Linked DNA regions of Astyanax mexicanus. The protein of the gene in region 1 interacts with the protein of each later gene in a biochemical or structural test. Links are inferred from orthologs where the notes say so. Each region holds a gene or a part of one and is shown on either strand. Other genes may lie near its edges. The genes, in order: mapk10 and mapk8ip3.

Evidence for each region.
Region 2: the proteins of mapk10 (region 1) and mapk8ip3 form a complex in vitro, tested with the Homo sapiens proteins (3 studies listed by BioGRID, with this or other methods). The link is inferred for Astyanax mexicanus from reciprocal best matches to the Homo sapiens genes MAPK10 and MAPK8IP3.

Annotation. Positions count from the first base shown.
Region 1 is NC_064424.1:37,254,446-37,258,373, reverse strand, and holds the start of mapk10 (mitogen-activated protein kinase 10), read left to right. Parts: upstream 1-1,033; 5' UTR 1,034-1,129; coding exon 1,130-1,132; intron 1,133-3,928. UniProt on the Homo sapiens protein: Serine/threonine-protein kinase involved in various processes such as neuronal proliferation, differentiation, migration and programmed cell death.
Region 2 is NC_064426.1:27,610,947-27,614,874, forward strand, and holds the start of mapk8ip3 (C-Jun-amino-terminal kinase-interacting protein 3), read right to left. Parts: upstream 2,371-3,928; 5' UTR 2,242-2,370; exon of another isoform or gene 2,063-2,241; 5' UTR 1,505-2,062; coding exon 1,199-1,504; intron 1-1,198.

The DNA.
Region 1 (3,928 bases):
CATCCTATTCCATTACATTCCAACAATAGTAATAGCCATAGTAAAATGTGTATATTTCCATCATGTATTTGTATGTTCTGATATTCTCAGAAACACAATGGACATAAGGAAATTCTTTACAAAATAGAAGAATTTGCACACAACAGTTAGTTGGCAGTCCAGTGTGTGCTTAATGTTAGCTATCATTTCATCCAAGTTTAATGATGACATAAAAAACTATCATTAATTTGTGCTCGACAGGACTGTATTGTATTGACAAGAACGAGGCCACTCTGATGATATTTATTCATTGCCTCTTGTGCTGGTTTGAAATGGACCAGAATACTTCTGTAGCCTAATTTAGTGCACAGAGCGTCACCTGCTCAAATTCTTATCAGAAATAATTAAATAATCAAGTTGGTACAACCTAACAACCTGTTAAAAATACATCAAAACGCAGGAAATGGCATCTAATTCATTAAATATTAGATCCCAAAATGTGTCCCATATCAAAAATGCTTATTATGCCCTTGCATTTTCCTTTCTATAATATTTTATTATAATTTTTGTTTACCAATATTACTAATTTTAATTATAATGATCAATAATAACGATATGTCGTAAAAAGCAAATAAAACCTAAAAAGGGGCGTGGTTTGAATGCGGTTGGATGAAATAAAAAATAACATAACGTCTTTATCTTTGACGTCACGCGCGCTCGTGCTTTAGTTGCCACGGCAACTTGCTCTCTCTGCCCCGCCCCTCTCTTCCCCTAACCTTTCCTCCTCCGCCCCCCTTCGTCCCCCCTCCCCCCTCCATCGTTCCACAATGGTACAGCCGTCAGCATCAGCGGCGGAGCGAGCGAGCAGCTGAAGCCCAGCCTCTCTCTCTCTCTCTCTCTCTCTCTCTCTCTAGCTCTGTTTCTATCCCCCTCTCTCTGTCTCTCTGTCTTTCGTTTTCTGTTTTTATCCGTCGTCTCTTTTGTTTTGCGCCCATAATTCCCTCCGTCATTTTGGCTTTAGCGACTTTACTCCTCCTCCTCCTCCTGCTCCTCCACGCCTCCCACCTCGCCTCACCGTCATGGTCTCTCCGCGGAGCCCGTCGGGATGTTGTGAATGACCGGGACCTGCGCATCGTGAGGCCGGCGCGGAATGGTAGGTGGCTCGGCTCGGGGGAGGCAGAGACGCCGCTGGTGGAGGGTGGGGATAGGGATGGGATGCACGGATGGATGGGTGGGGTGGATGATATCGACTGCCTGGGAGGCTGTAGAGCATCCATCCAGGAGGGGTGGTGTTGTTTTGCTTTGGCTGCTGCTATTGCTGTTGTTGCTAAACGGCGGTCCAAATACATTAGGCTTTTTTTTTATTAATTTTATTTATGAATGTATTATTTTTAGTGCAAACACGAAAAGAACTGCGTAAAGATGTAACGTTACTTGTATCAGCCTATGTATTATTTACTGACATGCCCATTTTATTCACACTTCCAAAAAAAAAAAAACACACGATTTCACTATATTTTCAGTCTGAACAATATAGTCGGAATTACAGATTGTCATATTATCAGATTATCACGCATGTAGCAGATGTAACTGAAGCCTGCATCGAGGCCCATTGCTGCACTGCTGTACTGAAGGTGACTGCAGAGGAGGTAGCTGTAGCTGTGAAGGCTGATGATGCTGTGCTGAAGTGTTTGCTCAGGCTGTCCTGCCTAACCCCCCCTTCAGTTGTTAGTGTGGATTAAACTGGGCCTTACTGCATCACTATGCCTTCTACCCAATAAAAATACAAAACGAAACGTGTTGACATCAAGCTCTAACATTAGACGCATGCTATATTTTCCATCAATAACAAGCATTAGGTTCACATTAAGCTTAAATGTTAAACAAACATTAAATGTTTGCTAGGAAGTCAAATACCATAAACCAATGTTGAGTTGACACCTCTCCAACATTGTTCAAGTGTTTAATTTTGGTTGGAAATGAAAGTCAATAAATGTCAAAAATCAGCATTGGACAGACATTACGTTTTCCAGCATTGAGTTCACTCATTTTAAAGTTGTACTGACCTTACATTGAGTTGACAACAATCTAGCATTGTGCGGCTGTTTAAATGTGGTTGGAAATTAAGTCAGAGATCCTTAAAAAAATATTTGACATCAACATTCATTGTGGTACAGACGTTGAATTTTGGTTGGATATCAATCAGTTATGTAAAAATGACACAACTGTGACATTGTACAGATTAAAAGTTTGGTTGGTAGTCACCATATTCATCAATAACACAACAGTGAGTCAACCTTCAGTGTTGTTTATGTGTCAGTTTATCAGGAAATCAAAGTGTCATATTTTAGGTTGATCTCAAAATCCAACATTGTACATTTAATTTAGGTTGAAAACTAAAATGAAAAATATATTGCTTTTAGGTTTAAGCTTTAGCTTTAGAAAGATGTTAGATTATTCATTAATGCATCAACATGGCTTTGTATATAATAGGAATTGTTTGTCAGTATGAATTGTAAAAATTTAAAAATGCTGGGATGATCTCAGATTTTCTCCAGAAGTCAGTGATACAACCTTTACAATATTATGCAACAATGCACTCTGTGTATCAAAGATCAGAATAAAATAAATGAGGCTGGGTGATATTAACTGATATGATATTAACTGCCTCTGATATCTAAAATAAACAATGTCTCTATACATAATAGGGCTGTATAATAATGGAAAATTCTGTTGTGATATACATAATTGAAGAAATATATATAAAATCTTTATTCACATCTCTTAGGACGTACTTAACTCCTGGTTTTCCTTTTATGTTTAAGTGATTTTTAAAGGTTCAGGTTTGTACTATATTTGAAGCAGGAATAGTAATGATCAAACATGATGAACAAACATAATAAAAAAAAACTTTGTGTATTAAAGATGAGACTGGGCTAACATAATCTGAATGACATGTATGGTTCAATTTGCTTTATGTGACATTGCACTTCTGCAAATTGCAATGGTGATGCTGAATCGATAAATTGTTATAAGTATTGAAAGGTGCAGATCATGTGCACATTAAACTTTGCTGTTGCCAAATATATGAAGCCCGGAGCGCTTTCTGAAAATGGGCCAGTTCCTGCTGGGATTGTGCCTGACGGGTAGGCTGGTTAGGCTGAGGCGGCGCCAGGCGAATGCAGGCTTAAGCTGGGAGAGTACACTGTGTATCCTGAATGTATTCTGAGTGTATTCACCGCAGACTGTGAACCTGCTGCAGTTCGCCTGGCTGAAATCAATGCAGTGAAGGTCAGATTAAAGCACATGTGTGGTGAACCACAGAATGCATGTGCCTGGATTGCTGGCACTCACTTTTATGCCTAGGGATATGTATTCACCAATCAATAGGGGCACTGCCATTGGTTTCATTTGTAGATTTGGACTACTACACTGTTACGTGGTGCTGTGCTGTGTTTAGGTCTGATAATCTGATATCTTAAAATCATATGTACATTTTATTATATTTTGCAATGTATTTTATTATAAACACAAAAAATATGATTATTAGTTAGGTATAGGTATAGGTGGTATGGATATGTATAGGTGTTATGGAAAGGTATAGGTATAGGTGGTATAGATAGGTATAGGTGGTATAGATAGGTATATGTATAGGTGGTATGAATGTATAGGTATGTAAAGGTTTAAATGTATAGGTATAGGTGGTATGGATAGGTATAGGTGTTATGGAAAGGTATAGGTGATCAGCTTACTACACATCCGACAGCCCTATTGGACAACTGTAAAAATTCATATTGTGGCAAGAACCATTTAGCTAACTAAAGAAAAACGAGTGGCCATCATTACTTAAAGAAATGAAGGTCAGTCAGTCAGGAAAATTGCAAAAACTTTAAATGTGTCCCCAAGTGGAGTCACAAAAACCATCAAGTGCTACAATGAAACTGGCACA
Region 2 (3,928 bases), on another chromosome or scaffold:
TGAAATAATGCCTAATGTCATAAAGTTGATTATACATCATAATAGGTTAGAATTGTGGGAGAGTTGTGTTATAACACTTCATGACAGCCATAAAAGTGATCACTCATTTGTTTACCACATTTTATAACAAGTCAGATGTTTAGCACTGTAAAACTCATAATTGTTGCTGAAATGATTCCCAATGACAATTAGGATGTCAATGTAAATATGAAAGTGTTGTAACACTCAACAGCCCTAAAATCAACCACACTTCCAACAGACCTTATGTTTACTTCCTTTTAGCCTTGAAATGATTCATAAAGTCATAAATGTACCTTCATAACACTTCATAACAGATTATAGATGGCAAAAAACTGTCTGACACTGTCAAAAAGACAGTCAAAACTGTCAAAAAGACCCTATGTGGCAATACAGCTTACTGTATGTGTGTGAGGGAATGAAGGCTTACAAAAATGTGTCATAACACCTAATAACAACAAGAAAAAATTAAGCACTAATTTGTTAACCACGTTTTATAACAGCTCAGACATTTAGCGGTGTGACATTGATGGGGATAACTAGTTTAAACCTCATAATATTGCTGAAATGATTGCCAGTGTCATAACACTGACTTTATAACACTTCATATAAGATTATAAATGGCATACAATCTGAGATAACAATAGTTGTGATATATTGTGTTATAACACTTCACAACAGCAGTAAAATCAACACTTTCAACAGAAATTGTGTTTACAACTGAAATAACTTAATACTTAATTATATCCTCGATTCCTAGTTCTATAAATTTGACTTCATAATAGAATAAAGGATTATTACATTATATTGCTGAAATGATTGCCAATCTCAGAACATTGACTTTGTAATACTTATAAATGGCATTAAGCTGCCTGACAGTGTCAAAAAGGGAGGGAAATCTGAGAGAAGGTGACCCTATGTGGCAATATTTGTGCTATATTGTGTTATAACACTTCACAGCAGCATTAAAACACTATTAACAGAAGTTATGTTTACAACAACCGAAATATTGTCGGAGATAACTTAATACTTCATTATAGCCCTAAAAATGATTCCTAGTTTAAAACATTTAACTCTATAAAACTGTTATAAAACAGCCTCTGGACGCCGTGCACTATACGTCAATCACGTTTACGTCAACTAACTCTAGCTTTACGTTAATTGACGTTAATTGACTCACCTCCTCGGCCTGCTTGCGTAGCGCCTTCTCGCGCTCGTACTGCGTGATGAGCTGCTCGTTGTCCTCCTTGAGCAGCTCGAGCTCCACCTCGTGCTCCTGGTTCTCAGTGAGCACGGCGTCCAGGTTCTCCAGCACGTTGACCACCAGCGGCATGAGCTCCTTCACCACCTCCTCGTCGTAGCTCCGGATGAGTCGCTCGAACTCGCGGTAGATGCTGTTGGCCAGGCCCGAGACGCGCTCGGACATGACGGACACTGAGCCGTAGTCGTCCTGGTAGACGACCTCGTCCAGCTGGAGCTCCATCATCTCGCCTGGAGGTGCGGTGGTGGAGATTTCCACCGAAAATCACAAAAAGAAAATGCTGGCCAAAGTAATGGAGGCGCTGTGGGAGCTAACTAGCGGTTCTCTGAGTCATCCAAATAAAACAGGGGGGCTTGGTTTCAGGAGCTAGCTGGTTAGCTCACTGTGTAGTTAGCTAGAGATATTTTAAAGGGGTGTCATCAGTTGGACGTGCCCCCACGTGTCTCCAGGGGTGCCCAGCAGCCTCATTCAGACAAGCGGTAGCTGGGTTAGCTAGTTAGTTGGCTGAACGTTAGGTAGATGTGAATGTGATGATGATGGGAGAGGAGCCGAGAGCTAAGCTAGCCTCTCTCCTTTCTCCCCCCCCACTCCCTGCGCCACAGCACGGCCTTAAAATCCCGATCTTTCCCCTTCTTCACACCCAGCTAATCCTCCGTTAGGTCCGTATCGGGTGAGGCTGGACTAGTCACCGGCGCTCCCGTTCCCACTCGGCCGGAATCCATCACATCACCGCCCGCGATGCACCTGCTGCTGAGCCGCCGCAGCCCGGGAGCCCAGCCATTACTGGGCGAAAAAAATCAATGGAGGATAAAAAAAAGAAAATAAATAAATAATATGGTAATAAATAGCTTACATACACTGGATTATGCTGGAGTAGCTGCCCCCATCACCACGACGTGGCGCAATCATTTCTCCTACAACATACTGGCAAATTCAGCTTTTTTGACATTTAAATAACCAACCTAGCTAGGTTAACTACAGACCCCAGCCCGGTGGATGATGTTGCGGCGGGGGGCGGCTGCTGCTGCTGTCCTCCTCCTCCTCTCGGCTGGGTGGGTAGGGAATCTCAGAGATCGCCCAGCCAGGCTACAGTGTGGGTGCGTTTATTTCATTTCCCACCTCTATTCAGACACGCCCCGCCCTCCACAGCTACGATTGGTTAATATATTCAATCTGCTGGGATTGATTGGCCAATGGTGCAAGCTCGCAAGCAGCACCAACAGCGCTAGGATTGGTCAGCAGGTCGTGCTCTATTTGCATAACGCTCGTGAGAATCTTCGCTGAGGTCCTGTTTGAGAATCCCGAGTAACAAGAAGAGGGCGGGGCTTGTCTGAAAACAAGTGCGGAATAAAAACAAATACCGCTGCATGGAGGGGAGGAGTCACCTGACCGTTCGGGGGTTACGTCACGGCGTCTGCAGCGAGCCAGCTCGTGCGGTGGCGTCATCATCACATTGTTCCTCCCACAGCAGGGCAGGCAGAGAATGGCATCCCTTCGGGAGAGGAAAAGGGGGATATTGAGAGAAATATGATCAAAATAGCAGACAGAGAGAGAGAGAGAGAGAGAGAGAGAGAGCATGGAAACCCATCCCAGTAATTTAGAATAGTCATTTTTTACTATTTCATTATTTTGAGATCCTATTTTGTTATTTTGAGATACTGTGTTGTTATATTAAGAGGCTAAGTCATTATTTTGATATACTAAGTCATTATATTTTGATGTACCAACGTAAAGCTCTATACTGACGGGATGAGTTTCTCAGGGGGTCCTGGGGTAATTTTCTCTTTTATGGGGGAGGGGGGAATAAAATCAGGGGGTCCTCTGTGATTTTATTCCCATCCGGAAAAAACTTGTATGCGTTTTTCTAAATCAGGGTTGCCAGGTCCGACAAATGTATCCAGCCCAATGTAGGTCTAAAACCCGCCCTTCAGAAGCTTAAATTAGCCCAAAATATATATCTGTCACACGTTTGAAGCAAATGGCAAAACAACTGAGTGTACAACTTAGTATTTTGTTTATAAGGGATTTAGTATCAGTATTGCTATTTATCATGAATTCATTAATAATATTGTAACATGAGTGTTTTATTAGTTCATTTATACGTTTTATATCCCAGTCAAGAACATTTCATAGTAACAATTAGCAAAAACAAAAAAAAATGACATTTTTAAATTATTTTTGTTCTTGCCCCTCCTGAACTCTCTTCTTTCCTCTTCAATATGGTTTTCATCGCCTGGTTATTTCTGTCTCTCTTTTACACTGTCCTCCCTTATGTTCTCCTGATTCTTCCAATGACATAAGATATAAGGCAACACCAACTTTTTTTTTTTTTTGGCGGCCATGATAATTTTTAAAAGTAGCCCAAAAAAACGCACACCACCACCCCTGACAATTTTCACCTGTGACAAGCCCAGTTTGGTGGAAAAACTGCAAACCAGGCAACTCTGCTCTTACTATTTTGAAAAGTTATTTGAAGAATTTTTTGCTGCAGTTTTATTAAATCCTATTCCTTATTCTGCCAGGCTGTTGTCATGTGGTTGCCATGATGTTGCTTTGCAGTGTGCAACACTAATTAGCATAGCGTTCCCTAAATGGTTTCCGTCTACAAAATGCTAGGCCCAGTGCACTTGTCTGGATATTTTTAAAACC